Linked DNA regions of Oreochromis niloticus. The protein of the gene in region 1 purifies or fractionates together with the protein of each later gene. This does not show direct contact. Links are inferred from orthologs where the notes say so. Each region holds a gene or a part of one and is shown in the gene's direction. Other genes may lie near its edges.

Region 1 (15,913 bases):
GTCTCGAGAGCTTACTGATCTGAAGAGCAGCCTGCAGGCAGCAGAGGCAGCCGTAGCCAGCGACTTGGAACACAAACACTTGGCCCACACTCACTCACACGCCACCCAGGTGGCAGCCATGGTTGTGCCCAGCTTCCCCACCTCAGAGGCAGCGGTGCAGGCTATACTGGAGTGCCTTAGGAACCATGAGTTCACCAAAGCCGTGCGCTACATCCAGGAATGCAGGTGAGCAGCATGAGGTCATCAGCATACATGAGTGTATCCTGGGATTTAATGATTTTATTATTTTGTCTCAACGTAAATGAACAAATGATCCCAAAAAAAATGGTCACTTTTTTGGATCATCTTATCCCCATCACTTTCTCCAATCTTACAAATGATTTTAAAGTATATAATAAGTAGACATTTATAAAGGGCTGTCATTCCTGGCTGAGAAACTTAAGTATGGGTGATGTTGAGGTCTATCGAAGACTCTTTGTGCTTCTGTACGCAGATGATATTGTAGTATTAACAGAATCAGAACTACAGATGGCTTTAGATGGAGTAGAAAGATGTTGTGTAGACAGGAAAGTGTAAATCCTAATGAAAGTGAAATTGTAATTTTTGCATGAGGTAAAGTAGGACAGTTAAATTTGGATATCCTGTAATACAAGTAGAGGAGGATCTAAGGAGCTTGGAATGAAAAGCGACTGAACATCTTTAAGTGTCTTTGAAGATGTTTCACCTCTCATACAAGAAGCTTCTTCAGTTCTAAGACCAAAATGATGGAGACTCCCAGATTTTAAGCCCTAGAGGGGATTGCCCCGCAAGAGGGTCGTTGACCCACTATTGCTCATGTGGCTCATCACATGATCCAAGGTGTGAAAAAAAGGGTCTGGTTTGTTCTCAGCAGAGGCTTCGGGTGAAACCATTGTTAGACCTTGCCTCACCCTGTCATTTGACTTACTGAGATCAAGAAGAGGGTAGATTTAAGTCGATGAAGATGAAGTTAAATGTAGGATGATTGGTTTTAGGTTTAGATTACTAGCTGTTAAAATGAGATTATCCAATCCTGAGGGAAAATTGATAGAACTGATGTTTAACAATAGCATCTGAATAAATTACAGTATATTTAGGCAAGAGTTCAAACTGAAAAATTACTTGTATAGTTTATTCTATTTGGTGTTATTTAGCAAAGTAGAGATGTGGGTCTAGTGGCATTCGTGTACTTATGGACAAATTTTATGGAGTTGACTATAATAATTGCTTATACATACTTTGTACCTTGTTCTAATGAGACTGAATAATTTTTTTGTCCTTTTCAGGAGGCAGTGGCCCAACGGAGTGTTTGGCGGCAGCTCAGAGAGTGAGGTCCAGACGCTGCTCAACGTCTACTTCCGTCACCAAACGTTGGGCCAGACGGGCACAATCGCCCTGGTCGGTTCCCGGCAGGACCTCAGTCTGATCTGCTCCAAGCTGCTGGAGCTCAACGGGGAGATCCGCGACATGATCCGCCACGCCCAGGGTTACCGGGTCGTCACAACTTACCTCCCCGATTCAAGTGCCTCCGCGACCAGTCTCTGACAGGACTTCAGGAGCCCCCCACCCCCTCCTTCTCCACCTTTACCCCCTCCATCACTGCAGCCATTGACCCTTCCAAGACAACCTTCGCATCCCTCTCAGCCTGCTCTTACAGAGGGGGCCCAGCACCCACATACCTGGCCCCTGCCGCCTCCTATGTGTCTGCTGCCCCAGATTCACAGCTCCAGGCAGATGCCCACTTACTACCCTGCCCAGCACTAGAACCTGAAGTAAACCTTTCACTCCACTCTTCATCCTCATCCACTGCAAACTCTGAGACCTTTTTGCTTGATTTTCCCAAACCCCCCGACCTGTTCTCTGCAGATAGCTCCAACACGCCAGGCCAATCGCATTTTACACTGCCGCTCACACAAGAGCCAAAGAGACGTTATCTAGATGAGAACACGAGCCTTTATTATCCTATCAGAGTACATCCATCATGCAATTCACCGCAATCACATTTCCACTGCAGCAAACACCTGATATCATCTCTCACATCCAGCTCTCTCCCAACTGTGGCCTCAGCGCCCACCTTGCTCACACACTCTTACACGAACCCATCGCCCATTTCTTCCCGGGGCTCTCATCTTCCCCATTTCCCACGCTCTCCGTACAAACACTCGAGCCCGTCCTCGATTCTGCACCCGGGCCGTGACACGGTCTTAACTCACGGCCCTGCACCAAGTTCATCTCTTCCCCCTCCCCCACCACCCCTCCCTGTCCCACCGGCCCAGGAGAGGCTGCAGCATGGGGTTGTTGTTGCTCCTTCGGCGGTGCTGCTACGCCTTTGACTCGCTACCTGGGGAAGGTGGGACAAGCTGCCCTGCCCCTACTGACAGTAGGGGGGCTCCTGAATACTGAACCGTCAGACGTCCAAACCTGAGACTTTAAAGTTACCACGCCAGAGGACCTAACGAACCGAACATCAGATCTTTGCATCTGAAAAGTAGACAATGACATGCCAGAAATACCTGGACACTTTAAATGTTTAAGGACAGGGAATCATATCCCATGTATAATGGGATTTATCTCTGGATACTACAGATTGCTGCCTGCTGATAAGAATGACCTGATGTGATTATATACAAGCGCAGGCTTTGCTTCAAAAGCTAGATGTCGTGAAAAATAATGTACCTCCTTGTTTAAGTCCCGCTTGACGGTCATAATTCAGCATCTAATCTGTGCTGCACTCCGAGGACCTGTGAAGGCTTTTAGCTTGGACTTAAACTGGCTTCCCGGAGGAACTTTGAGACATGCTTGACACTTGCTGCCTCTTTCAGGAAAGATGAAAGAGACAGTGAGGAAATGAGCCATGACACTACGTAGCATCACTGGAAGAAGTTTCCTCTGTGGAGTTTTGTTTTCCTTTTTTTTCTTTTTCTAAATGTTGTAGAAAGGAGATCATGTATGTTTTGTTACTGTGAGAGAAAAAGGCTGTCACTTTTATTAAGAAGGAAAAGCCAAATGCTGGAGTGATTTTGTCTCTACTGTTCTGAGGCCTCCTCTGGAGGAAACTGTGCAATGCATGACCCAGTTGAATGCTTTCTACTGTAAGCTCCCGTCCTTTTCGCCTAGCCCAGACGTCTGACCTCAGACTGATTGAAAGACTTGCTGACAGAGCAGATGCAGAATATTCAAGTGCATTTCTTTACACTGCTCTTTGGCCTGTTTATATTCTGTATCAGTGAATCAAATTGTCCTCTGACTACTGTTGTAAACATTGGTAGAGTAATCATGCCATTATCCGTGCGTGGCGTGCACCCCTCCGTGGCTAGCTGTAGCATCTTTAGTGAGCGTAAACACTAGATTTCTGTCGACTTGGTGTTCACATGCAGAGAAGATGGCGCATGTACACAGTCAAGTATTTGCCCGTCTGTATACTGCTAATCGTTACTGTCACACAACCATAGTAGGATATGTTTGTGTGGTTTGTAGTTACCTTACACGTAAGGGAAATGCTGACATTCTGCACTCATTGTAGATGTGCGAAATGAAACCCACGCTACGCACTACTGAATCTGAACTCGTCGTCGTCAGCCTTTTTTTTTGTGTGTGTGTGAGAGACTCTCCCTTGGTTCGGATCTAGCAGTCGTTTTGCTGTTGCTGTACAAATGTCTTCTTTTCCTATTTATATCTGATCAGATATGAAACAACACTTATTTGACTTAGGTTTTATAGTGTTTGTTCTCTCAAATCAAACTGCCATGCATGCATTTTCTGTTTACTGTATGGAGTGTTTGAAATATTTATTAACAAGATAATTTTATCTGAAAGATACGTTTGTATGAGGTACAAAAGGGAGCCACAAGCTCACGCGGGTATGTTTGTTTTCTTTTTCCTGTGTGTGGGAGAATGTGTTTGCATGCCAAACAAGAAGTTGCACATTTTTAAAGCTTTTTAGATGAAGACAGTAGTTGTTTTTTCACCTTGTAAATATTTTCACAGCCTTTGTGAAGTTGTTTTGAGTTGAAGCTCTGTAAAAGTTGTCAAAGTAAAGACCTATAACTTGTGTTGTCTTTTGGTGCTTTATAAATGACTGAAAAACTAATTGTATTCAAGGTGCTCTGCCCTATCCCTACATCTGTCAATGTTCTCTACAGTCTTCCTCCTTCCTGGCAGCTCCATCTCTAACATCCCTCCTCTGCACATGTCCAAACCCTCTCAGCCTTGCTTCTCTAACCGTGTCTCCAAAATGCTCAACCTGAACAGTCCTTCGCATGTATTCATTTCTAACCCCCTCTCTCCTGATCTTAACAGCTTGAAGTCTGAACATCTTTAGCTCTGCCAGCCTTTAAACCATGCATCAGAGCAAGTCTCACTACTGTCCCTAAACATTTCATTTTACTCTTGCCATCTTTGTGTCACTAATAACCCGACACTCATCTTGCCTGACCCCAAGTATTTAAACCTGTCTCCCTCTCATTCACTCACATGTAGTCAGTCTTGCTTCTGATTTTCATTCCTTTTCTCTCCAGAGGATACCTCCACCTCTCCACTACAGATCGCAATGTCATCTGCAAACATCAGTCCACAGATACTCGTGCCCGACCTCTCAACTTTTCCATCACCACTGCAAACGAGAAGGGACTCTGATCCCTGATGAACCCCTCTGTCACTCCACACTTACCCTGCATGTCCCTCACATACTTCTGATACTTACTTCTCATGCAGCAGCACGGTTTCTCTTGGTGAGCCATCACATGCTTGCTCTAGATCTACAAAGTGCAACTGCTTCTGAGCATCAACACTCTCAAAGCAAACATCACATTTCTCATGCTCTCAGCATAAAGCCCAACTACTGCTTTTGATCATCAACTTTTTCCCAAGGATTTGTGCTACAACTGACAAAATGGAATTTTAAATGTTTTTATCAGCCAATTTTTTAAAGAAAGAAAATCACCATGGTTTCACTTTTCACTTAATCTGTACATCAGTTTCTGAACCACAAGATTGTGCTGGCTTGTTAAAAATAGAAGCTTGGAGTAATTCAGAAATTGTGCCATCAGTTTGTCTGGGAGAACATTGTTGTTTGTATTACTGCAGTAGAGTAACATTATACTCCGTCTACTGGGTATAATAGGCAAGCACCCCATCATTTCCATTTTCATTATGACTTCATAGTGTATGTATACATTCAGGAATCTCAACTTTTAAGGTGCAGTGTTTATTTCTTCATACAAAAATAGTTTTTATGTTAGATACCAGGATCAGTGAGGGGGAAAGAATTTTTAAAGTTGGCTCAAACCAAGGCAGCGATTCAGCTCTTTTGCTGGTTGGAGTGACTCTTTGTTACTGGAGGCGGTGGCAGCTTCTCTTTGTGGCACGACTTTACACGTCAGTCTTATTGGTGTAACCTCAGGCCTTCGCGGCGGGCAACTCAGACGATGTATTTGAAGCTGTAGGTGGCGTCACAGGACAGCTTCATTCCCTTGCAGCGACAGCACAGGTCCTGACGGTGAGGCTTCTTCATGTTAATGTGTCTCTGCTTCTTCTCACAGATGCAGCAAGTCTGAGAGCAACCCTGACAGAGGGGGGCATAAGAACAACATCAGCGTAAGAAAGAGCACAGGCTTTTCTCATCCCTACAGAAGGAATGCCTTACTGAGACTGAAAGTACCTTAGAAATGTGATCCAGTTTATTTAAATGCCCCACACAGAATCTGACTGACCCTGCGATTCCACTTAAAGTCCAAGTGATCAAATCATCTTGCGAGAGTTCCTCAAAAACAAGTTCACGTACCTTGCACAGGATAGATTCCACTCTGTAGGGGTTAAACCCCACTTGACACTTCCGGCAGAGCTGCTTGTAGTATACCTGCCAAAGCAGTCGCTCTGTATTAGCTCAGCAAGAATGCAGATATTTGTTTGTGCAAGCAGGTTGCCACTAACCTTACTGGTTCCAGAGATGCACCATACATAAGCACTCTCCCACCGGATGTTGCACTTTTTGCAGTGGAAAAACCCATACCTCTGCTCCAGGAACTGGAAAAAAATAAATAAATAAAATGTATACAAAATCTTTTTTCCCCTGTGGGCTCCACTGACTGAAAACATTCTGGTGATACTTTTATGGAGAATGTGAGGAAGTGCATAGATTTTAAACTTAACTATCATAAGTTTAGAATTTCCCAATAATAATGGCTCTACCCCCATTACCATTCATACTACAAAGTAGTTAATAAACAAGATAGTTTTTCAATTTAAAAACATTTATGTTTATCTTTTATAAATCCAGAACAGTCTGGGCAGTGAGTTATCAGAAATGTCTCTCATTTTATACATCTGTCATGTAGAGAAAGTGAGACGTAGTGTGAAAAACTGCATTTAAACTGCTTTTAAGTTTAAACTTCTTTACACTGACAGAAGGGAGTGTTTCATTGGTCCAACCCATTAAGATCAAAGTGGGCTTTATGTGGCCCACAAGGAGTTTGACATCCCTGCTTTAAGTGCTTTTTGTTTAATAAAACTAATTTTAAGACAATTAGTTTCTTATACTGCCCTTTATTTCTTTGTGTTTTTGAACCAGTTATGATCTTTTACACTTCTTAAATCTTAAATAAATCAAGTTTCGTTAGGTGTTTTTTAGTGTAGAAAAAGTACCGAGTTGAAATCAGAAGACATTTAAATGAGCCTACGGTGACATTTGCTAAATAAAAGAATCTATATTTCCGGATGGATAATAGGTTTAAAATGACAGTCATACTAATTAGGCTATAGGTTGAGGGCTTAAACCACAGATGACTGAGGGGTTTTCTGAGTTACATCGTGGATGGGAAAACTAAAGACTGCTCATTGCCATTTCCACACGCATCCACCTGAAAGTTGGCTCCCTTTGGAGACCGGTGGAAAGCTGTCTTGGAGGCTTCTGGGGCTTCCTCGCCACTTTGATCCCCGTCGGCCTCGGACGTGGCCTGCTCGGCGGCGGGTTCACCTTCTCCTTCACCAGCGCAATCTTCGAGTTTCTTTAGGAAGAGCCTGCGGTCAAACACCGGCGAATAGATGGACACGGGCCTCAGGAAGCGCAGGTTGCTCATTGGCGGCGTGTGGAACTGCGCCTTCCCCTCCGGTGTGGACGCATCGGGGCTCCTGGGGGGCTTGCAGGGAGTGGGGAGTTCGTCGCAGGACAGCGTTTTGGGGCCCAGAGAGCACTGGACAATTTTATCCACCTTGGCGTTCACTTGCACGCCGCACTCTTTGGTGTTCGCCTTCTTGAGCGGAGGGGGTAAACTCGGGTTGACCTGGGACAGGAGGGTCTTGTAGAGCTCCAGGTAGTTGAGGCCCTGGGGGTTCATGAAGCGACCATCTCTTTTGCCCCAGTTGCCGACCTGAGCCGGGGGCGCGCAGACAGCGTTACCATATACACTGTATGGTGGAAACGTGGACAGGAACCCCTCCATCCTGGAGCCATGAAACCAGTCCAACTCCGTCCTCGTGAGATTTTTAGCCTACGCTTACCTTCTCTCGGCATTGATTGGTTAATTGAGAACAGCGGTGTGCAGGCTCGAATATCGGTAGAGATACTGTGCCCTCTATTATTTATTAATAATAAGACTCTGTTGACTACAGCAAGAATGGCTGGCTATGCCTTTGAATGTGTAGTGATACATTTTGGGGGGCGATCTTTAAAAATTAAGTTAAATTAAAATTGTTTTTATCAAAAAACTGCAGAAAATCTCTGCTGAAACAAGACTGTGCAAAATCCACCTTTGCAGCAAGTGCACTGCTTTATTTGAACGATCCAAATCCGAAATGTTATATTGGAGCTCCCCCTATGGGCTGGTTCATGTTGGCCAGAGACCCATCGGAGAAAGACAAAGCAAGCAGGAGATTAATGAGGCATGCAGTTACACCTTTATTTATTTATTTATTTTTAGTTGGACGTTATGTGAACCAGCTTGGCAAGAAGGTTGTATAACTTCAGTAATATTGCTTTTTTAGTAAAGCCACTGAAGTCAGAAAATATATAATTTAAAAGCCAAACATGTGTTAGAAGTATTAAAAATGTGAATGAGTAGGTTAGCAGACAAAGGAAACTGAGAAATAAATACCCATGGGCATTGTCCCATAAATGTGATTTTTATTTTTAAAATGTCTGTATGAATAAATGACTTTATATGGTATATTCTAACAGTAGGGGCGCACTTAAAACGCCAGAAGCGCCATTCAGCAGCAACTATTTATATTTTTAATTCCAGTTTACACAGGATTAACGTTAATGCACCGTTACTGTCATATTTATGCGATCATTTTCACGCACAAACCCCTTTAGTTGAATCATGGTTTGGCGGTGAGTTCAGGCTCTGTCGGAATCTTGGGTATTCCGTTTGATGTGCAAAATAGACAACAATGCCTTAAAGAATAATGTCAAAACATTATCGTTTGGATATTTAAAACGGTATTTTTTAAACGGTGGGATTAAATGTAAACTCCGTATAAGAAGACTAATGTCTTATTTGGCAGGGTTCGTGTATTTTATAGGCCTGTGCTAAATAAAATCCGCTCTAAATTAATTCATTGTGTTTTTTTTAATGCAAATTACCTGCTTTTATCTTTACAGAGCGCTTCACGAGGACTGTTAAATATATTGCAGGAACTTTCTGTTATATGCGTTTGAATACTCGAAATCTTTTGGAAAATTTTTACAAACAAAAACTGAAAAAGACGCTCCGCGCGTCAAGTGAAGGGCTCAGCAGAAGTACCCGAACTTGTCCTATAGGTGGCGCTACGCACCCATCGATGGTTTTTACCCACGGGCACTGAATCTATACATATTGGCGCCATTTTGGAGCTAGGAGGGGGAAGAGAGCTGCAGAGGAGGACACGATTTATCACAATTCACCGTAACAGGTAAGAAAATGCACAAAGAAGCGAATCGTTTTGATTGAAAAGCAGCGATATTTTCGGACGTCGTTGCCACAGAGTCGGTGTGATCCGGGATGTAACCGCGGAGCTCCCGGGTTTCCAGCGCTAAAAAAGGCGGAGCAGAGCCCGCCTCGCTCGCCTGTGTTCTCGGCAGCCTTGTCCGATTCACAGCGCTGGTTGACCTGGTCCTGCGGCGGAACAAAAAAATGGTTAGCTAGTAAAATAGTAGTCTGCTGACTGGGCTCCCCGCAGCACGAACAGACAGTGGGGGTCGGCTTGGTTGTGTGAGCGGGCTCGGGATATTGATATGAATATAACGGTAGTTAGCCGGTGTGTTTTGTTCGGTGCAGCGTTACTCTCAGTCCGCCCTCTGTCACTGAGATTGCTCTGCTGCTAACGCTAGCTCGGCACGCTAGTCGCTAGCGTGGATACTAGCGAGCTAACAGCAGCTAGATGGATTAGCCACAGTCATCATAACAGCAATAAGGCAGCCTGGCCTGAACACGCTGCTGTACCAATAACAATACCCTCTATTCACGAACAGTTTCCTGACTGTGTAATAACTCACCCACGTGAAATCGGCCTCGAGAATAAATTATTAGCCCAACTCTGGTCGTAGTATTTTCGTTGTGACGATTGCGGGCTTTTAGTGCAAGGCGCATTCCTTTTTTTTTTTTTCCTTTAATTGCAGAGACCTGATCCTGTAGCGGTAATTGTGTATTTAAGGCTTCTCGAGATTTTAAAGACTTTTACTTAACGAGTTTGCGCAACAATGAAAACATGAACACAAATAGAAGCTTTGGAGGTGAAAAAGTAGCGTGTGATCAGATAGGACATTAATTTTGCAGCCAAGTCGCTTGCAGAGAGCTATAGGGCATCTGATGTGACAGCTATCAGTCTATATATGTATATGAAAAATATAATCTTTGTATATGTTTTTAATTTTATTATTGCTATTGTTTTTAAATCGCTTCATCATCAGCATTGCGTTTTGGTGAGCGGATTAAAGATTGTAAGAAGTCTAAATATGCCATGTAACGCTGGGTTAGATATTTGTTTCATTTGGATTTCTCTCCATGTACACACACACACACACACACACACACACACAGACACAAAATAAATAAATAAAAAAATCCTCTTAAAAATAACACAATTTAAAATCCCAAATTGGATTTTAATGTATTCATTCTTGGTGCGAATTGCAAATAAAATAATGCTTCAGGCAAAACTAATTTATCAGGAGCCACTTTGCACTTCTTCAAGAGATAATTTGGCCCTATTTAAAAAATCAAATGCAGGCTGTGCTCCTTTAAGCATTCACTGAATTGTAAACTGAGCTGAATTATGTTTAGTCAAGCTCTTCCTCTTCAAAACCAAGATTTTCAGTTTGTTTCTCTTTGATGGTTGCCTTGTGGTGAATGGATACAGAGGAGTAATGATGTGTGTGCTGCCTAATGCCCATAGAGATGTGATTCAGCCTTCACTTGTCCATTTCATTTCATCTGAGGAAAAGCTCAACTCTGACAGCGTTTCCCTTCTTCAGCCAGTTTCCATCGCTTTGTTTTTGTGAGAGCGCCCGCGCGGAGGTCGACAAGTTCGCTCTTAAAGCTGGCCGGTGTCCGGTTCCCTCTCTGTTTGCTGACATTCACACTCATCCCTGTGATCACCCATATGAGAGGGGGGTTAAAATCAAGGATGTCTCTGTCAGAGTTCGAATTAGGTTCGAAGAAAGGAAAGTTCTCACATTTCTGCTGGCAGCTGCCTTTAAAAGGCAGAAGTGGGAAGAGCATAAGCAACTAATGGGGGGTAGGAAAGGCTCTCGGTGGGGGGATAAATGTGTTTTGACTGTGATAAACCAGTAATAAGCTGAAAGTAGTTCATGTTCAGGAGGTTGTGTATGGGACAGCTTGCCCCTTTGTGATTATTTAGTGCTGGTTCCATGGTGGATGGTACCCACGCAGCCTCCCTAGGTTGAGAAATAATCTGCTGTGATTGGCTGCCAGAGCTCAACTGTGTATCAGTGTGGCAGAATGAGAGAGGGATGGACTCAAATTTGGCAGCAGCTGTGGGTGGAAAAGAAGGTCAGAATCAAACAATTTGGCAGCTTGCCAATGTCCCGTGTGTGTGTCTGTGTGTGTTTTTGTAAAAGCTCAGCTACAGAAAATTGTTTGGTTGTGATTCATAACTAGGTTTTGGAGTCTGGTCTCTAAATCAAGCGCTTTTGTCAGACGGCAGACCCACTGACCGGGACCGCTTCATAAATCAGTTTTTCTTTCGGGGTTAAAAGTAGCTGAAATTGAAGGAACAAGCGGCTCAGTCGTGAGAGAAGAAAATCATCTGTTCATTTTTCAGTGCTTCTTATAGCTGCATATGTGCAGTGTTGTTGTTTTTTAATTGTATTTGTTATGTAGTTGTATTAAATAAAACAATTACATCATTTTTTTTCTTAACGCTCAAAAGGAGATAATATTACAGCCAAGTAAAACAAAAAACATTTGACCAAATTTCATGCTGCCTGGTCTGAACTGTGGATCAGGCAGCCTAACATATGCCTATCAGGGAAGTTGAAGTGAGCAGATGGATGAGGATGATCTCAGTTTGGCATTTTGTGCACTTTCCTAAGGAATCGTACAGATTTCCCCACTAAAAGGTACTTATCTGTTATGGTAAATGGACTGGTTCTTCTATAGCGCTTTTCTTTCTACTTGAGCACTTAAAGTACTTTATACAACTTTCCTCATTCACCCATTCACACTCATTTATATGAGCACTTTTTTTTTTTTACTGAGCTTAAGTGCTTTCTGTCTAACACTTTCACACATTTACACTCCAATGAACGCATGAGAGAGCAACTTGGGGTTCAGTAGCTTGCCCAAGGATACTTTGGCACGCAGGCTGGAGCAGCCAGGGATCAAATCACCAAACTTCCAATTATATTGAAATGTTATATTTTGAAAGCTCCAAGTAGGATACTGGGGTTTGTGAGTTGAGTTTTTATTTTTGAGCAGATGTGATGCCTTTTTACAGAGAGATATTGTAGAGGTATTAATAGATATTATTGTAGGGTCTTTACCTTACAATTTAAAGTACCTGTTGTTGTAATTTGTTGCTATAAATTGAATTGAATAGAGGGTATGCACACATAACCACAGGATTGCAGAAACTAAGATTGGGATATGATTCCTTTTTCCAGAATACCCAACCGTAGCCTGGGTTTCTGCAGTCATATAGCAGTTTGTCACATGATGTCATGCACATTGCTTGAGAGCCGTCTGTCATATTGGCGCTTGGTGAGTAATTCCTGGATGTTGCTGGCGGTCATTGGGTGAAGTTGGTTACAAAGAAGAGATTTTTGCTGCACCAAAAATCTCTGCAAATGTGCTAGCCGAGCAGTAGTAAACTTGGAAAAAGTGTGACGAGAACGGCATTTGCCTTCAGAGTAAAACTTGTTTCAGCACGGCAGTCAGCAAGTTTTTAAAAGGCCCGGTTTTTACTTTGAAGGCAAACTGTCTCAGTTTTGGCAGTTTTCACATTATCACTGCTACTGGAGGAGTAGCTGGTGAATGTTTGCAGACAAGCTGGCGTGTTCTGTGCAAACTACGAGTGACAGCAGCAATCAGCTAGGAACCAAAGCAGCAAGGTGGTTTTCACCAGTTGTGGAATACTCAATTTTTCTTTCCTTCATGATCAGTGGTTGCCAGGTGGTTGCAGACTGGTCTCTAGGCTTGCGTGACCTGACATTACACGTCCAAATTGCCAGTCAAGTTATCGGCATGTGACTGCATATCCTGAATTGAAAGCACAGTGATTTGCTACCCTAAGGTGAACTCACAGTGGGTTTGAAGTGTGTCTCATGTGTCTTTGGCTGGTGTCCATATCTGTCTGTCTATGGACAGATTTTGTCAATAGGATAGCATCATAGTGTGGAAGTGACAGTGAGCAAAGTGAAGGCCAAAATTATTGGTGTGGTCTGAGTACTCATTAAATCAGGTAACATTTTAACGACTACTAAGTGCACATGGGTTTTTTGCTATGTTAACGTATCCTGACTACACCAGAGGCCTTTGCTATGAAGCAAGATTTGGACTTATCCAAGCACCGTCAGGGTTTGACCCTGTGTTTTTAGTGTGATTAGGTGATTAAGAGTCTTATTGTTAGTGGGGTGCATTGCAATGGTAAGTTATGCTGGAGATCTAACCTGCTTACCTGTTGTTTGACTTATTAAGTTAATGACTACTTTTGTGTGACTGCTTAAGGGCTCATTATGGTCGCTGCAGTGGTCATTGTGCACACAAGAAGTGACATCATCATTTATACCGCCAGTGAGGGCACACTGGGCTGGCTGCAGTATTCTCCTAAATGGTAGAGGTGTCACCACTCAGAGAAAACCTCCACATCAGTGTTACTACTGGAGTACAAAAGTCTTTTGGGTTTTTTTTCTTTCCAACATCTCCCTTGGTATAATCTGGAAATCTTTTGCTCTGATGAATCATTAACATGGTTCTTAAAAACTGACAATCATACACTCATTCCTTCAGTCTGGTGATGCCACAGATGCAAGGTTGCAAAAAACTGAAAGCCCCATGACATGCATGAGGGCTGCTTGCTCCATGGCATGTGACGTTTCGGTGATGCTCTCAGATATTTTTGACCAGCATGCTTTGGCCTGCCTGAAGAGGTTGTACATCTGCATAGTAGTGCGGTGTGATGCCCTAACTGCTCCAAAGTATGGAACTCCAAAGCTTCCTCAGGGACAGCTGCCTTGCCAGTTTGACAAATCTATAAACCATGTGAGAGGACGGTCTGTCATCACATTCAAAAGTGCCCCATTATACCTGAAAATGCAGAAAATCATGAATGTCATTGTCTAGGACTGAAAGCGACAGTGGCTTTGTGTGAGGAGTTTAGGTGCCAAGACAAACTGAAGCGTACCCAGATCATTAAGCACAGTGTGAGTGCATGCCAGCAGGCAAGTCGGAAAGGGGCAGATATTTGGGCATGACACAAAGTAATCACATCCCCAAGTAGGGAGCTAAATTTCATTATGAGATGTGGGAAAGTCTGAGAAAATTAACAAACAGACTCCTCCACAGAGACTCAGTACACAACAGCGAACAGCTAACACCTCTGCTGGTTATCATAGCCGCTACTAAAGTCGCAGAGAAATATCAAGCTAGAACATCTAACCTGTGTGTGTTAACACTGATGCTTTTGCGGTGTGGTTTTTGTATATGACTCACAAAGGTAATCATTATCACTCGCTCTGAAACTTGATTGCATTATTTAAACAGCCATCTGATCTGATTTCATTACTGATGTATGACTGACTATGTGCAAGTTTGATTTTTATTCATTTTATTTTAAATAACTAAAATTATGAGGAAATAACGAGATGTATATAAATTATAATTGTATATAAAAGATGGCCTACCAGAGTTACATAGAGTGAAAGGAAGCGTCTTCAGATTGCTTGTTTGTTGTTGAGAAACCCAATATGACTCTTTGAATACTGGCTCCTTTAGTCAATGTTTCTTTGGACAGCATAGCAAATTATAAATTGCTTCCTATTACATGTGATGCAACAATTTACCATCTTGCTATCCTGAGGGGACTTTATGTTCTGATGGTTCTCTGGAAATTGAATTGAATTGGGAAAAGTAAACGACTGCAAAATGAGTCTGTGCACTCACGATCTTCGGCTAAGTACCTACATTCACATTAATCTGCTTCATCTATTAAATATTTTTACATGTCTGCGTTGTTAGCTGTTTTTGTGAAGTTATGTTAACGGCTAGAAAACTGACATGAAAATAGACCAAGACGTGAGTCTGGAGAAAATTACTGTTTTGGTTAATAGCAGCATTTCTGAGCTGTAACCGAGGAACGCTGCCATGTCTTGGATTCTAGTTTCTAATATCAGGGTTTTGATATATTTAAACCAAGCAGCTCACTGGGCCTAAACATTGTGCAAAAGCTACAAGAGCTGCAGACATTTTGTTAGTTAATGTCAGCCTGCTGTTCCCTTTAAGCCAAAACATGTTTTTAAAAAACAGCCTGCAAAGATTATAAAGAACAAGGCAGATGTTATGACTTATTACCCTTATTACCACTAATTAGGGTTGGCTAAATCATGCCAATGTACTCTCATATCTACACTTTTTTTTCTATAGCTATTAGTGTTGTAGTGGAGGGTAGAACAACAAGAACTGAGTGTCATGAAGTGCCCAGAGGGGAGCACTGCAAAGCTAAATTAATGAGTCAGCGAGGTATGTCGAGCTTAAAGTTTGAGTTCTCAGCATTACAGATGACTCGCTTTTTGCCTAGCTAGAAAAACCTGGCCCAAAGCAGGTTACGTTAAGAGTTGAAATAATCTGGAGTACCATTTTTAAGTAATTGTGTCACAGGCTTCTGACTTTATTAGACAGTGCAGTGAAGATGAGGCAGAAAAGGGGCAGCGAGGGCCATCAGGTCGGTGTTAAGCCCAGGCTGCTGTATGCTGTATAGCCTTGCACTATGCGGTCACCTGCTCAACCTGTGAGCTAAAATCTTAAATGCCATTCACTGTTAAACAACATTTTAGATATGCAAACTGTTGGGCCATGTCGCACTAATGCTGCAGAGGTTATGTCACAAGTGATCAAAATGCACCTCTTATTCACAGCGGTGTACATGCATTCAGTTGGTTGTTCGTGATCCTAAAGAGCTGTCAAGTCTGTTTCTAAACTGCTGTAATGCCCACAAATGAGAAAATTAATCAGTTCATTTGAATCACCAAGAATATTCAGTCTGTAAAATTAATTTTACTTTGATCTGACTAAAAACTAATTTGATTTCAATCTTCTCTGTTATTAGACTGTGGTACCGTGTCAGAACTGAATGCACTGATGTTTAAATGCTTTCATTTTAAAGCCTGAGAGCACTCAGAGTGCACCGAGTGGGGGGGGAAAAATACAGATCTCTGCTTAAAAGATTAACTATTTTCTGCAGC
Region 2 (16,122 bases), on another chromosome or scaffold:
AAAGGATTATTACCTTGTGGGAGTAGCTACACAATCCTGAACAAGAAAAGAAAGAGACACAGGTTTCATGTTGTGCTTCTGCAGATGGCAATAAATGGAAGGCGACAGAGAAGGTGAACTCCTCTCAGTCTTTCTACCAGCTCCAGGGCTTGACTCCTGGCTCCCAATATTCTTTCCAATTTATCTACAACAACACAGTCTTCTTCAACACTGATATCAAGACAGAAGGAACAGGTACTATGAGCCTTCATTCATCCTCTTTCCTTTTATCCCTACTGCTCTCTCCTCTGGGTTTCCCGCAGCTAAAAATATAAAGCCTGATCCTACAGAGAGTGTCTTGCAGTTCTTTCTCTGCCTGTGAAGTGCTTTCAAAGACTTTTGTGAAAAGAGAGCTTGGTTAGCCATATGAAATGATCCATTACTTGTGTTTGTTTGCTGTATTTTGCTGTATTCTTTGGTTCCCTGGTGAAATGCCAGCCTGTCAGAATGCATAATGATCTGTCTCCTTTGCTCTAGATTCTACTCCTTCTTTTATCTTGGTCTCCCTATCTGTTTCATACTTTCCATTTGCCGTGTATTTCATTCCTGCTTCCTGTTACCAAAAAAACTCTAACTCCTTTTTCTACCACCTTCTTTTTTCCTCTCTTAAGGAGTAACAGAGATGCAGCCAAGCTTTGCAACACAGGGCTGGTTCATTGGCGTTGTGAGCGCCATTGGACTGTTGTTGCTGATCCTGCTCATCCTCTGCTTCATTAAGAGGAGTAAAGGGGGAAAGTACTCAGGTCAGTGTGACCTACCCTGATAAGTGTTTAATATTAGGAGAGCTATTAAACTGAAGCTTGACAAGCAGACATTCTCCCTTTTTAAAAAGTCCACACAAGCTTTGTGTGGGCAATGCTGGCCAGTCTGGCTTACTGCACCACAGTAAATATATTATATTGACTGGGGAGAATACTGCATGTTCTTTTAAATCAATCCCAAACAGTTTGATTAACTTTCAGTGGTTCCAACTGTAAATAACTGTCCCATTTCACTCAACCTGCTTTCTCATGCAGCTGTCATGTCAAACGTGAGACAGACCTCTAAGCTTACACTTCCTTGCTGTGATAGTAAGGAATAATCTCTGGCTCTTTCTGAAAAAGACAAAAAAAAGTAAAAATAATGGTCCATGTCTGACTGAAAAAACAGACTTTTAGCAATTTTCACATGAGAGAGAAGTGAAGACAAACCAAATAATAAATCTGATGATACCTACTGCCATTCTAGTTAGCTGTTATATTTTTAGAAAATCAGTGAGAACTTAAAACTATAATACAGATAAACTGATAATATCTACAGATAATCCAGCTTTTTTGCTCCACCTAATCATCCTTGATGTTATCTTGCTTTTTAATAAAACTTCACTGTTGAGATTTGAGACTTTAGATAGAAACAAGATAGAAACAAGATTAAAATTTGCCTGATAATGAAATCTGTCACATTCTCAGTGAAAGATAAAGAGGAGGGCCCGATGGACTCGGAAGCTCGGCCCATGAAGGATGAAACTTTCGGAGAGTACAGGTGTGTCACCTGAATGTACGCTGTTTCTTGAATGCTTTGTTATGTTTCTGCACATTGATTTCTAACACAGCCCTGATTCCCTCAGCACTGCTTGGTTTTCCTAACCCTCTCTGTTCCTTTCATTGTCACTCTCCTCCCTAATGCCTGCCCCTCTTATGCAGATCTCTAGAAAGGTATGCTGCGATATGATTTAATATCCTTAACCCACTTAATTTTTACCTCTGCCGATGCCTCATTTACCTTCTGCCTTCCCATAAACATTCAGACTAATTTTAATGTAATATATTTGTTTACTGATTCATATGGTGATTGCATTATGTTCAATCAACAGTCCAAAATCCTATAACATTCACCTCAATGTAATGTGAGACTCTGAAAAGCAAATAGTCACGATTTATAACTGGGAACTCACTATTTTAAAAAAATTACTTAAAATATTAGTACATAATATTCAACCTTTGGCATGCAGCATTGCATTTTTCGTATGTATCGTGTTAACATTTCTTACTTTTGACCTCTTCTGTTCTTCATGCTGCAGTGATCTTGAGGAAAAGCAAACAGCCAGCCAGCCGTCCCTGTGTGAGAAGAGCAAGCTGTACAGCGAAGACAACCTCGACTTCAATGGCAGCAGTGCCATGACCACAGAGCTCAACATGGATGAGTCTCTGGCTAGCCAGATCAGTCGTCCCAGTGGCGGTCCAGAAGGTTTCCTGCCAGAGAACGCCCCGCTGAACCCCACTACCTTCTCTCCCGCCACCAATGGCGTGCCCAACTCAGTCACCATCCTCGATTAACCCCCACACATCCACCGGGGACCATCAGACCAAAATATGTCAACACGTATGTGCCCATATGCTCCTGTTCCCTACTGACTTGCTGATCTGTACTTCGACGACTAATAAACAATCATATTCAGATGTCCCTGGCAGCCATCTGATTGACTAGACTATATTGACCAAAGGAGTGTCCAAAGTAGTGGACAGCGATAGTGATATAAGCCTGACTGACATGAACATGTCCTTTGACCTCCCTTCATTTTCCTGTGCAGTTTACAACTAATGAAAAAGACTAACATTCATTTCTCTCCCTCCTCTTTCGTTCTCTCAGCAAACAACAGCGCAGAAGCATAAAGACAGAATGTTGTACAGTTAGAAATATCAGGGGGTGTAGGTAAAGATGCAGAGTAGTGCATTAAAAGTAAAGGATGATGGTAGAACCCAGTGTAGGGAACAAGACAGCTAATGCTGCTGTACAGAAAAAAATCTTGAATCTTAGATATGAATCATGTTTGATGTACTTCCCACATGATTTTGTATGTCTAATTGCCATTTAATGTCTCCGATTGTACTTGCCAGTGACATTTTTTTGGTTTTACAAGCGTGTTTGAATACCAAACATCATTTTTTTTTGTTGCTGTTGTTGTTGTTGTGTCATTTTTTGTTACGTAATCATTTTTCATATTGTTTTCTACACTATTTATATAAAAAGCTACGACACATTTCATAGATTAACATGTTTTCAGCAAAATCAAGTGAAGCCAAGTTTCTTACTATTTGGACGCATTAAGTGGAACTTGCTGTGAAAATGCTGAGTAGCATCTGGTGTATATAGCTGCATCTACACTTATCTATTTAGCCATATTACAGTATTATAGATCCTTATAAGTTCCTGTGCCTGCTGGGTCTGCATAAAGCACCAGATTGATGTCATTACTCTCTCGCCTTCCCACCAGAAGTGTAATGTCATTTTTGAAAACAATGTTGTAATTTTTTTGTGTGTCGAGACCTATGTGTAGTTTTCTGTATCGCTGTCTTTGTCTCTTTCTACGCTGTATTAAAACATTGTCTCTAATTAACAACCTTTCATACCTGCTCATCTCATACTAAACAAACTGAGGCGCAGTATTTATGTATATTTCAGATAAGAGGGTGGCGTCTAGTGCGCAAACACTCTCTCAAGTTTTATTTTCAAACCTTCCTCAATGCAAGCTGATATTGTTGACAGTTGTAAAGGCTGCCATTTGATATATGATAAAAGTTAAAAAATAGTTGTTTATATCAAACAGAGAATGTATTCCTTTCAGGGTTAGGCAGACACTGTATTTACTTGCTTCTGAAAATAATCTGAGCTAAAAAGGTCAAAGGAGAGTAAAGTCACAGGAAGAGCCGGGACCATTTGTTTTCCCTCTGAATGTAAATACAACCCCTACAGAACCATGTTTGATATGAAAATGTGAAAAATGTGCAGGTTTAAAGCCACTTCACTTAATTTTAAAATGTTGCAAATTGTAGTTTTTTTCCTTCTCTGTACTATTGCTATGAATTCAGACTTTTCTGTTATCGACAAACGATCACAGTGAGATTTGGGTGTAGCAAAAACATACTCCATAGTTGAATAAAGGAGAAAAAAAAAAAAAGGAAAAAAAAAAATCACATTGTTATGTAGATGTTTTTGCAAACATATCGAAATTTGAAAACGGAAAAAAAAAAAATCAATTTAGTGTCACTTAGTGAAAGTAGTTACATTACAATTTAAGCTAGGATTGCGCTCATGCCCTTAATCATCCAGCAATGCAGTGCAGTGAATATCTGTGGAGTTTTTGTCTGATGAAGTTGTGCGGGGCAGAAATGCAGTGAGCCACAGGGAACACTTAAACGCAACACTCTCCCTTCTCAAACAAAAGCTCGCCACTGGCCAAACATCAACTGTAGTCTCCGAGGTAGAATATGAGATGTCTAAAGAGGCTAGTGGCACTGAAGGAGGTTTGTGTAAGCTCCCTGTTGTTGGTTAAACAGACACACTCAGGACAAATAAAGCTTTTAAAAAAAATCTATTTTCATACAGGAGCGATGAATGACGCAAGATATGCCAATATTCTAACTCAACTATCTGCTGCTAAACAACTGTGTGTCAGTGTTTGGAGGCAAATGTTAGCTCTGAATGAGGAATGAGTGTACACACACAGATACTCACTCGACTGCCGCTCACTCTTTGCTTTTCATGTTTTGTAGAGGAAACCTGGGGATGCTGGCCTTTGCTTTCTCACTGTGGTTGTTTTTTCTTTTTTTATATAGCTAAAGAAGAAAAATCGACTGAAAATGAATTCGTTTGTGTAGAGAAGCTTCTCTAGGACATTTAAGTGGAAGTAGATGAAACAGAAGGGGCAAGGGAGGCCAGGGGGTGTGCGCCGCTGCTGGGGATGATATGCCACTTCGCAGAGTGTGGGGTGCAGTATTAGCACAACATGACGATGCCTATATTTGTCATGGGTGGATGACTGGAGCTGTGGGTCTTGTACCACTTTTGGGGCCAATATTGTAACTGCATTATGAAGCTACTGCTGTAACTGGATATATGACTGAAAAATAAAGTACGTGGAACAATCTGTACCAAAAGAGGCTCCCATTTTTTGTCACTAATCAGAAATAACCGTGTTAATCTGAAGGAAATGTCTGTCACTTAAGTTATGATTAATGTTGATCCAGTTCACACTGATTCATTGATTAACCAAGTTTATTTAGCCCAATGCCACAGGAGGACAAGCTAATGTCAGGTCACTGGCAGTCAGCGGGAGCTGGTGTTGAATTGATAAAAGTAGTCCTTGGTGGGTTTGTTGGTGTACAGTCTCTTATTCAGGTACTCTTGCCTGGGGCAGAAACAGAAATTTAAACACAGTAAGTAGCTTGTTCCCCAAAATGTTTATAAAATCTGAAATCTATATTTCCATACTTTATCACCTAAGCCTAAAACACATTTGCTGACTAGTGTCTAATCAGAGAGTGCATGAATATGTGCGCAGTGCTTACTGTGCCAGCTGTTCTCGGGCCAGCTGCATGTTGTAGCGGTCCATCTGAATTCTCCGCTCTCTACTCAGCTCGGCTGCTGTCAGATCCTCCTTCTCGGCTTCTCTGGACAGCTTCAGCAGCTTCAGGTCCCAAGCTGCATCCCGAATCTTTTCAGCATCTTGCTGTTTCTGAAGGCAGAGAGGAAATAAATCTAAAAACGCACTATACTTGTTCTCCTAAAGGCAATTCTGCTTCATTATTTAATGATTTAGGTTCCCAGACTTCCTCAGATTTTGATTTCATGCTGATTTTGGGTGACTTTAACATGCCTGTAGATAACACTGAAAAATGCAAAGCTTCAGAGCCAAATAATCTGCTGGAGGTCTTATGGCTTGGTAACTGGATCCACTCAAATGTTTTTTTTCTGTGTTAGCACTTTATGTTTATGCTTATTCTCGCCACTATTGCATCTTGAAATCAATGTTGATCCTGTTAATCCAGGTCCAGGCACTAACAGGAAGTTTAGGGCCTTATTTTAGTACACTAGAAAGACTAAGAAGATACCATCATCCTGAATAAGGAGAAAACTGATATATGATGGTATATTTTTTTAATATCTCCAGCACACTAAAATAAGACCTTTTATTACTTGCTCAAACCTACTTTCAGTGCCTGGATGCTGGTTTGAGCACCGCTGGCTTGATGGACACTAGTAGTGCTCCTGTTACTTCAATGGCTTCCAATTAGTTTTAGAATTGATTTTTAGATGTTAGTGCTTTTTTACGGTGACGCAATGTTTGCGACCTCAATATCTATCTGACAAGCTAGTAAGCTACCTGCAGACCTCATGGATTATTTACCGAGTCTTAACCAATACTGGTGATGTGGCTTTTATCTTTTCTGATTCGCTGCTGAAACAACCTTCTGAATCACACCAGGAGTACTCCAACATTTGCAGTGTTTAAAACAAAACAAAAAGGAGGGACAAACCTAAGTTGAACACCTTTTCCACTGTGGGAGAAGAGCTACAAAAACCTGGGTATTCACATCAATAATAGACTAGACTGGAAATGCAACACTGAGGCTTTCTGGGTCATTTAATGAATTCAGTAAAACACTACTGTCTGTTACTGCTAGTGCAATCTTCTTTGTAGGTTTGTTTTGGGGTAGCAGCATCAGAGCCAGTGACACTGGAAAGCTGAACAAGCTGATTAAAGGCTGAGTCTGTGCTGGGGACTAGCCTGAAGCCCCTAGAGGTAGTTATTAAGAGCAGGATGTTGCACAAACTGCTAAACATACTGGACGACACACAACATCCCCTTCATGACCTACCCGTCAAGAGTGTTTTCAGCAGGTGGCTCCCTTAACTCTGCTTTAATAATGACTGATATTAGTATTTTAATATATTTTTTAAAGTATTTTTAGTTTAGTTATTTCTTTTTGTTTTATGAACTTTGTGCTTTTAATTCTACTTATTTCACTGGTTTTAAATGATCATTTATACTCATCTGTCATTAGTTTTAATTATCTTGATATATTTCTTTTATTTTATGGACTGAAGGTATAGATCTCATATAAATGTATATTTTTACTATTAATATTGCACTGTTGCTTTTTTGGTTGTTTTTACTTGTGATTACAGACTTTGTAGTTTTCACATTTCCATCTAATTTTTTTTTTTCAAGTCTAGGATCATTCTCTTTGTGAATGAGTAATCTCCTCAAAGCTGAAAAGTTTACAACCCTTTTTGAAAACAACCCATGTAGAAAAGTTGGCACAGATGTCAAAAACTCTTTCCCTTCATCCCAAAATGGTCGCGGCAGATGGCTGCCTGCCCCTGAGCCTGGTTCTGTCTAAGGTTCAACAAGAGTTTTTCTGTCCCACAGTGCCAAAGCACAAGTACTTGCCCCGCCCAATTCCCCCGCTGGCCACCTCTGAAGTCGCATTAACAAAACACACAAGTACTCAAGGGATTGTGTGCACATGGTATTCTACATACCATATGTGGGATACTGTGTGCAGCTTTGACTATATTACTGTGGAGTACAGAGTGTAATACCTGTCTCTCAAGGCATTGTTGTTCTCTCTCCTGCTGAATGCTTTTCAGCTGTTCAGGGCTCATTCCTTTCCACCTGTCTGGTAGAACCTGTGGTGGCCTCCCTCCTCCCACCTGTCTCTCTGTTGCCTCTGCACACTCTGTCATCATGTCAGATGTCATTGTATGCCACATCTCTGCCAGATTTTCCTGTTCCTCTCTCTTGTGTTGCTCCTTCAGTTTCTCTGCTTGCTCTTTAGCCTGTGTGTACAGAGCATGGTGAGGCTTTAACACAGATCCAGGGACAGTTAATTGATTATCCCACTGATGACTGATGATTCAGAAGCATTGCAAAACCCAGTCTCTAAAATGTGGTTACTCCTAGCATAGAGCTACCAGTCAGCCATATGGCGAACGTCGTCCTGAGAGAGCCACTCAGTCAGCTGTATTTGCTTGTGCATCATGAGTGGTTATTAGTGAAACCACTAAACACTATGAAAAAGTACAGTGACCTGAAGAATTTACAATGATGCCTCCCAATGGGGGATTCAGCCGAGTGCATTCAGGCAAATGAGGGAAGAGCTAAATGGGGGCTTTTAAAAACAGACAGTAACCACGCATACATCAAAGCTGTTTAACCATCCATGTTGCCTGGTGCCAAATAATATGATTGCCGCCATCCTGCACCAAGTGTGTGCATGCATCATTTGACATTTTCAGCTTGCAATTCCCACATGACAACATCATGTCACAGCTTGCCCCCCCCCCTTAGATTTTTGCCTTGAGGATTCACATTAGTGAGTGGTGTGTGCATATCTGTTTGTCCATCTGTGAGTGTGCACATATACTGTACCAGAGCCTGATTGTAGTTGTCGAGCGCGATGCGGGTAGCTCTCTTACACACCTCCTCGAGGGCAGCTTGCTGAGCCCCTCTCACATCTTGTTGCACCAGCTCTTTGCTCACAAGCATCTCTGTGACACACATGATTTGGGGATCATCTGATGTGTGTTTTTCACACCTGCATTAGCGGTTGTATGTGGCTCTTCAACTGCACACTTCACACTTACAGTAAGGCTCTTAGGGATGAGCATCCATCACTGTCACCTGGTAATAAGGGCTGTGCATGGGAGTGTATGATTGTTTGTGCAGGAAAGCATGAAGCATGTGTGTGATGTACAGAGGTTGTAGAGTAAAGGATGTAAGCTCATTAGGAATGCTAGTGAATGTGTGTACTTGTGTGTGTGTGTCTCTTTTCACCTATGTGCTTGTCTCGCATGTGCCTTTTTTCATTCTCATCCATCTGTGCTCGCAGATCTCGTTCTGTCTTTCTTATTTGTTCTCTCATCCTCAGCTCCTCTCCGACACCCTCTCCCTGTGCATGAAACAAGGACAGATGACCATAAGCGGTAACAATATTACATATTTAACCATTAGCTGGAGCCCCCCCCCCGGTCTTTAAAGCATACAAATCACCTGCTTTGTCAGAGCTGCCCTACCTTAAAGATTTGCATACTGGCAGGCCCTAGCTCATCCTCTGGAATGGCGATCTTGAATGCCCCCTTCAGGTCAAATTTAAGATCAGCATCACGAGAGTCCTCTGCTCGCTGATGAGTAGCCCAGTAATTGGTGAGTTCAGAATTCAAAACTCTTCGCTTCTCCTTTTCAGCATTGTTCTGCTGCACCAGTACTTCATCTTGGCATATTCTCAACTTATCTGTAATACATTAAAAATACACCTGTGACCAACCAAAGCTCATTAATGGAGAGGGCCTGAAACAATAAGGGGACCAGGGGACTTGCATTTATAGCGTCTTGCAGGAATTATGTCTGCAATTATACTGCTTTAATTCTACCTCATCCCTGTCCTTCAGTTTACCCAAAGCTTTGTCCCTTTGTTTCTCCATGTTTTGCTGGTGTTTCTTCTCCTGGACTTGTTGGTTTAGTGTATCTAGGTCGAGACCCATCACACGAAGCCGGGTGTTGAAAATGCGGGCCTTGCGTGCTGTTTCTGCAGCCTTACGCCTCTCCACAGCCTTTTCCGTGGACTCGTCTACAGGCAAATCCACTTTGTACATGTTCAAAGTTTGTAGTGACTTCCTAAAGAGACAGCATTACGACACTTATTATCAGAGCTGATAATCTTGCCTGAAAATAAATTATTAAAGAAATGACTATGCCGATTGAAATATAAAATCCTGGTGGGGTTCATCTTCAGAGCGATTTGCTCCTGTCATCACCTGATAACATCAAAAACCAATGCTTCTTTAAAGGCATATTTAAAGAATAAGTGGACTAAATTAAATGGCTTTTCCTTAAAAATGGACATACACCACTTACCGCTGACGTTATAAATCTGCTCAGTTTCTTTCAGTCAATATCAGTGAATGAAAATCTGCTCCTGTTGTGTTTGGAGACGCTTGGTAACCATGGAAACATGTGGACACACATCGATATGCTGGAAATACATAACGAGAGTGACAGGACCAGCTAAGGAAATGTCTTTTTATTTTTTTAATAATGTGTATAATTTGTAATAAAGTAGCATTAATAGTAGTAAAAAGTGATATCCAAGGCCGAGATAACAATCAAAACACGACAAACGCCAGACAACTAAATTTGGTCTCGCGAGAAACTGTGAGGTTTCGTGTCTCGCGCGCTTGTGGGTCTTCCTGTTGGATTGTAAAATGGCGCATTGTTGTCGCCGCCGTACCGAATATATTTGATAAAGATTATAATTTTTATTTTAATTTTTAAAACGATTGCGCAGATCATAATGTAACTTGTGCATAGAGCAGCAGTAGATTGACCAGAGGGGTTCATTCATTTCGTGCACACTGCGTCTTTGCAACAGCTTACCGGGTAAACATTGGTTGTTAGCATTAGCTAACTGCTAAGCTAATATTCACTGCAGACCAGCTAAACAAATAGAACGAGATGGGTTATTTAAAACTGATAGAGATCGAAAATTTCAAGTCGTATAAAGGAAGGCAGATTATCGGACCTTTTCACAAGTTTACTGCAATCATCGGACCCAATGGATCTGGTATGTAATGACAGCTAACATAAGCTCGAAGCTAATGCGAAATGCAAACTGCTAGCTGTGCCTAACGGTAAACAGAGCTCCACAGCCCCGCTCTATTTGGATCATAACTCTCAGTCTGTGCACAGCTGAACTGGACAGAGGTTCAACTGTTGGTGATGTGATGTATCGTAGTGTTTCATGTTTACATTTGGCACTATAGAATTTATTTAAACTTTATTTCGGTGTATTTATGGTTGTCAGTTTGTAGAATGTCGTTTTTGCATTTTTATTGAAGTCACTCCATTAGACCGTTTAAGCACTTATGTCGTATAGGCACGTAATATATTTGTAAACATTGGTGTTGGACCCATTACACAAGAGAAAGACTTTCAACGGTCTTTTCTCGTAATACAGTGCAATGCATCATCAAAACTATCTGGCCTGTAAGTTTAGCCATATCAACTCAAACAAAACAACGTGTAAAAACTGCACACTAATAGCCAATGAGATGGATTTTATTGCAGAACTGCTGTTTGGTACCAGACTTTACAAATAAAAAGTGAACCTTACTGTAATATTTACAGGACATGCATAGGATCTAATCGTTGTTTCCCCATCCCACAGTGTGCAACTAGAAAGAATTAAAAAATATATAATTTAATTATGTAACATTAAATAAAACAAATAAATAAAACTATAAGAATCTGAGATACAATGTACAAAATAATATTAGGTAACAAAGTATGATTTACATAAGGGATATTAAAGCCTATATATAGTTGTTGCTGTTTATGTATAAAAGCATGAGGCTTTCAAGGGTTCTTAAAGTATAAATGTCATTGCAGATCTTTGTGTACAAATATTAAGGTATAAATGAATCATTAAAAACCTATACACATAACTGCAAGTCCATGTATATTGCAGTGCAGTGCATCAGTATGAGACTGAATGTGTAGATGGCAGCAACATGGTCTTAACATATGCCTTTTAATATAAAAAGGTCCCAAAGTTTACTAAGATTCATCACAATGTTTGTAGGAAAGTCCAACCTTATGGATGCCATCAGCTTCGTGTTGGCAGAGAAGACAAGTAACCTGCGTGTGAAGACTCTGAAGGATCTAATCCATGGAGCGCCTGTAGGGAAGCCAGCTGCCAACAGAGCCTTTGTCAGTATGGTGTACCAGGAAGATAATGGAGAAGAACGTGCCTTCACAAGAGTCATTATTGGTACGAAGCTCCATTACCAACTGTCCTTGAATATAAAATTAACTTTCTTTTTGAATAGTTGTCTGTGTGAATTAAGAGACACTGATCTAGTAATATTTGAATGCTTTTCAGCTGAATAAAAGGATAGTAGTAAAGCTGCATGGATATCAGTTTTCAAAAATTGACTCATCATCTAAGAAAACATTTTTACACATCTTTGGCATTTGGCGTTTAAAAAATATTTAAAATCTGTTACATTTATAAATTGTAAATAAAATGCACTTTTTTACTGTAGTATATAAAATAATATAGTTTAATAGTATAGTATATTATTTGTGTGTGTTGATGATGAGCTAATGCTTGTTTTGTTTTTGGAATATGCACCAGGTTCTTCCTCTGAGTATCGCATCAACAGTAAAGTAGTGGGCCTGCCTGAATACAGCGAAGAACTGGAAAAACTTGGAATTCTGATAAAGGCTAGGAACTTCTTGGTCTTTCAGGTAAGATTTAATTCTTGTAAATGTTGTCAAGATCTTTTCAAAAGCAATTTATGCACAGGCAGTCTTTCATAGTACTCCTGTACTAATCCACTAGGTTATTTTGATTGGATAGTGCAGTAGTAAAGTTTTTAGTGTGTGTGCGTGTGTGTGTATATCATTGGTTTGAACGTGACTTGGCCAGTTAGACCAGAGATCAAATTAACACCAGGTAACATTTTATTTGCTATTTTAAAATTCAGTTTTGTCTTTATTTCCCTTTAAGGGAGCTGTTGAGTCTATTGCCATGAAGAACCCCAAAGAGCGTACAGCGCTGTTTGAAGAGATCTCCCGTTCAGGAGAGCTGGCCCAGGAGTATGACCGGAGGAAGAAGGAGATGGTGAAAGCAGAGGAGGACACGCAGTTCAACTATCATCGCAAGAAAAACATCGCTGCAGAGCGCAAAGAGGCTAAGCAAGAGAAAGAAGAGGTTTGCCATTTTTACTGAGTCTGCATAGGACCCAGAGTGTCATCATTAGTGTCTATGGTTATTTGCATTTACTGAATTCCTCCATACAGGATTCATTGAGTGGTATAGCCTGTTTCTACTCTAACAGATTTTAGGTAATATATAATTCCAGATAATGCAAATACTTGTCATTCATATGAATGCACCAAACTTCAACAGTAAAAGACAAACTAGGAACTTTTATCAAAGCTCAACATAAGCTTTCAGCAATGTAACAGTTTCAACTGCACATCCTGCATATAAATCTTTCCCACATATATATTTATATAAGAGATAAAATTTGGTGTTAGGTGAACAACACAAAGATGAAGTAAAGATTGTTACACTGTAATCGGCAGCAAATCTGTGCGTTTCTTATTTGAAATGACTCAAAAATAGCCTTAAAACAAACTTTTGAATTTTCGTGATTAGTTTTTTGTGTTATCTGATGGAAAATTGAATCTGTTACATCTCTAATCATAATTTGCTCTCTTCTCTATTTTCGTTCATTTTACCAGGCTGAGCGTTACCAGCGTCTTAAGGATGAAGTAGCCAGAGCTAGTGTACAGTTGCAGCTCTTCAAACTTTACCACAATGAGACTGAGATCGAGAGGCTGAACAAAGAGCTTGGGCAGCGGAACAAAGAGATCGATAAGGACCGTAAAAAGATGGACCATGTGGAGGAGGAGCTGAAGGACAAGAAGAAGGAGCTGGGCAGGCTGATGAGGGAGCAACAGACCATTGAGAAAGAAATTAAGTAAGTGGCATTAAATAAAATAAGTTTTGACATTTAAAGCTTAATGCACTATTAGTCATTTGACTTACATTAAACGGTTGACTTGACTACAGGGAGAAGGACTCTGAGTTGAACCAAAAGAGGCCTCAGTACATCAAAGCCAAAGAGAACACCTCACACAAAATCAAGAAGCTTGAGGCAGCAAGAAAATCACTGCAAAATGCCCAGAAGATGTACAAGAAGCGGAAGGCAGACATGGATGAGCTGGACAAAGAGATGAGGGCAGTGGAGCTGGCTAAGCAAGAGTTTGAGGAAAGAATGGAGGAGGAGGCGCAGAGCCAAGGCCAGGATCTCACCTTGGAGGAAAATCAGGTCTGATGTGTGAAAACTACATTTTAGACTTGCATGATTTATTTTGAAAAAATACCAAATTAGTTACAGGATTTTAGTAAAATTATAATGTTTCATGAAATTGAAACATGCACACTCTGTGTCTCGCTTCTTCCAGGTGAAGCAGTATCATCGTCTGAAGGAGGAGGCCAGCAAACGTGCTGCCACGCTGGCACAGGAGCTGGAGAAGTTCAACCGCGACCAGAAGGCTGACCAGGACCGCCTGGACTTAGAGGAGAGAAAGAAAGTGGAGACAGAGGTAAAGGAGAGAAAAATGGAAAATGATGGAAAAGTTTTATGAGCCAGAACAAAATTGATTTGATAGAAGTTGTTGTTTCTCTTTAGGCCAAAATTAAACAGAAGATCCGTGAAATTGAGGAAAACCAGAAACGTATTGAAAAACTGGAGGATTATATTGCCACCAGCAGGTATGCTGCTCTTAATTTTGGATTGTTTTGAACAGAGCTGTGGTAAACTTATTAATTTTATAGGTTTCTCTGGTTTACTGTGTGATTCACACCCTTTTTTTCTCTTTTCCCCATCAGGCAATCACTAGATGAGCAGAAGCGTATGGAGGAAGAGCTGACTGAGGAAGTGGAGATGGCCAAAAGGAGGATTGATGAGATCAATATGGAGCTTAATCAGGTACTCAATACACAGGAAAGAAAGAAATCAGCGCCAACAACAATTTGAATCTACTCTAATTGGGTTAGTTTATTTTTGCATGTGCTAACTCTGCTCCTAAAGACATCAGGCTTTTTCTATAGCTCATATTTTCCTGAACTGTACAAGACAAAGCATCATTTCTTTGTATCAATCAGTAGACTTGATTAAATAAAGCACTGATTAAATAAATGATTGCTTTGTGGGTCATTAATCCATGTTTGGGTAATACTGGATTCTATAAATTTCTTACATCACCTATAGTAGCACCTCTGATGAATCCCGTTATTATTGGACTGTGGTTTAGGTGATGGAGCAGCTTGGAGACGCCAGAATCGACAGGCAGGAGAACAGTCGCCAGCAACGTAAGGCCGAGATCATGGAGAGTATAAAAAGACTCTATCCTGGCTCTGTGGTAAGGCACCTTTGGCACTATACCCATGCTGGGTCTGCTTTTCTTTCCTTTTTGGTAAAAGCATTTAAACATTGAGCATAAGAGCACTGAACAAACCTCAGTTTACTGAATGTGTTTTCAGTATGGTCGTCTGATCGACCTGTGTCAGCCCACTCAGAAGAAATATCAAATCGCTGTGACTAAAGTGTTGGGTAAGAACATGGACGCCATCATTGTTGACTCAGAGAAGACTGGCAGAGACTGTATTCAGTACATAAAGGAGCAGAGAGGAGAGCCGGAGACCTTCCTTCCTCTTGATTACCTTGAAGTAAGTATATAAAAGTAATGACTCCACCTGAGAGCTTTGAACAATTCATTATAAAATTATGTCCTTGATGGGTGTACCTTGTGAGCTAAATTGTCAGTCTTGTAAAACTTATGGAATGGAAATTGTAGAAGCACAAAGCGTTGTTTGTCCATCCATACATCCATCGACTCAGACGTAGTTCAGTAGATGAACTACTTTACCTACATTATTGGTTTGAATTTGATTAAAATGTTATTTAATTTGAGTGAAATGGTAAAACATGATTGTTTGTTGTTCTATGGAGACTTTCCAAAGAATTCTCATGGGTCGCGTTTTTAGGTTTATGGGCAATGACCTGTGAATTGTGATGGGTCCTGAAATAGATGAGCTACTGTGTTGCTGGAGTTCTGATTTTAAATCTCTGCTCTGCTCTGGAGAATAATATCCAGGGTTCTTACGGGTGCTTGAAATCCTTGAAAACTTTAATACTGTCTTTTTAAGGTTTGAAAAGTGCTTGAATTTCAGATGTGGTGCTTAAACGTGCTTGAAACTGTAGTAACCGAATAGTTAACTTATCAGATAGAGAAATAAAATGAGTCGCAATGTGTAAAGGTAAAATTTCTCCGCCTGGGCCGCCTTGCACCTCTGCATGTCAGTCTGTTTCAATGTGTGACCCCGCCCCTCCCCCGAACAGTCGGGGATGAGTGCACTAACTGGAGGTTGCTGTTTTAATGACTGTTTGATGGAAAACGACACTGGTGGAATTTGCACTCTTGAGTCACATGACAGATGAGTCCTAGTAAATAATTTTTGAGTATGTGCTAATTTTTAAAACTATTATTATTATTATTTTGCTAGCTATCAGACTTGCTGGAGAAATGATTGAAATGCACTGAGTGTGATGCAGTATGGCAGGGCTATTATAATAGTTAGTTATGGCATGGTGGTTTCTGGAATATGCTGTAAACTTAGCTAACATTACTTAGTAGTAGCAGTAATGTGAGTTACTTCATTCAAGTGAAAGCTTTAAACGTTAATC

What was found.
Region 2: the proteins of pds5b (region 1) and structural maintenance of chromosomes protein 1A purify together in Homo sapiens (affinity purification with western blotting; 8 studies listed by BioGRID and IntAct, with this or other methods). This does not show direct contact. The link is inferred for Oreochromis niloticus from reciprocal best matches to the Homo sapiens genes PDS5B and SMC1A.

The regions. Positions count from the first base shown.
Region 1 is NC_031975.2:16,184,370-16,200,282, reverse strand, and holds the start of pds5b (sister chromatid cohesion protein PDS5 homolog B), read left to right. Parts: upstream 1-8,761; 5' UTR 8,762-8,907; intron 8,908-15,913. Other genes in the region: fryb (protein furry homolog), read left to right, coding at 1-225, 1,305-1,563; zar1l (protein ZAR1-like), read right to left, coding at 5,438-5,581, 5,801-5,875, 5,950-6,042, 6,876-7,457. UniProt on the Homo sapiens protein: Regulator of sister chromatid cohesion in mitosis which may stabilize cohesin complex association with chromatin. May couple sister chromatid cohesion during mitosis to DNA replication.
Region 2 is NC_031984.2:20,058,057-20,074,178, reverse strand, and holds the start of structural maintenance of chromosomes protein 1A, read left to right. Parts: upstream 1-10,045; 5' UTR 10,046-10,315; coding exon 10,316-10,424; intron 10,425-11,441; coding exon 11,442-11,630; intron 11,631-11,996; coding exon 11,997-12,109; intron 12,110-12,371; coding exon 12,372-12,575; intron 12,576-13,111; coding exon 13,112-13,350; intron 13,351-13,442; coding exon 13,443-13,701; intron 13,702-13,837; coding exon 13,838-13,978; intron 13,979-14,064; coding exon 14,065-14,147; intron 14,148-14,264; coding exon 14,265-14,364; intron 14,365-14,689; coding exon 14,690-14,797; intron 14,798-14,918; coding exon 14,919-15,104; intron 15,105-16,122. Other genes in the region: l1cama (neural cell adhesion molecule L1.2), read left to right, coding at 85-234, 651-782, 1,488-1,560, 1,722-1,733, 2,099-2,354; ribc1 (RIB43A-like with coiled-coils protein 1), read right to left, coding at 5,125-5,206, 5,367-5,533, 7,405-7,641, 8,234-8,352, 8,639-8,753, 8,878-9,095, 9,258-9,456. UniProt on the Homo sapiens protein: Involved in chromosome cohesion during cell cycle and in DNA repair. Central component of cohesin complex. The cohesin complex is required for the cohesion of sister chromatids after DNA replication.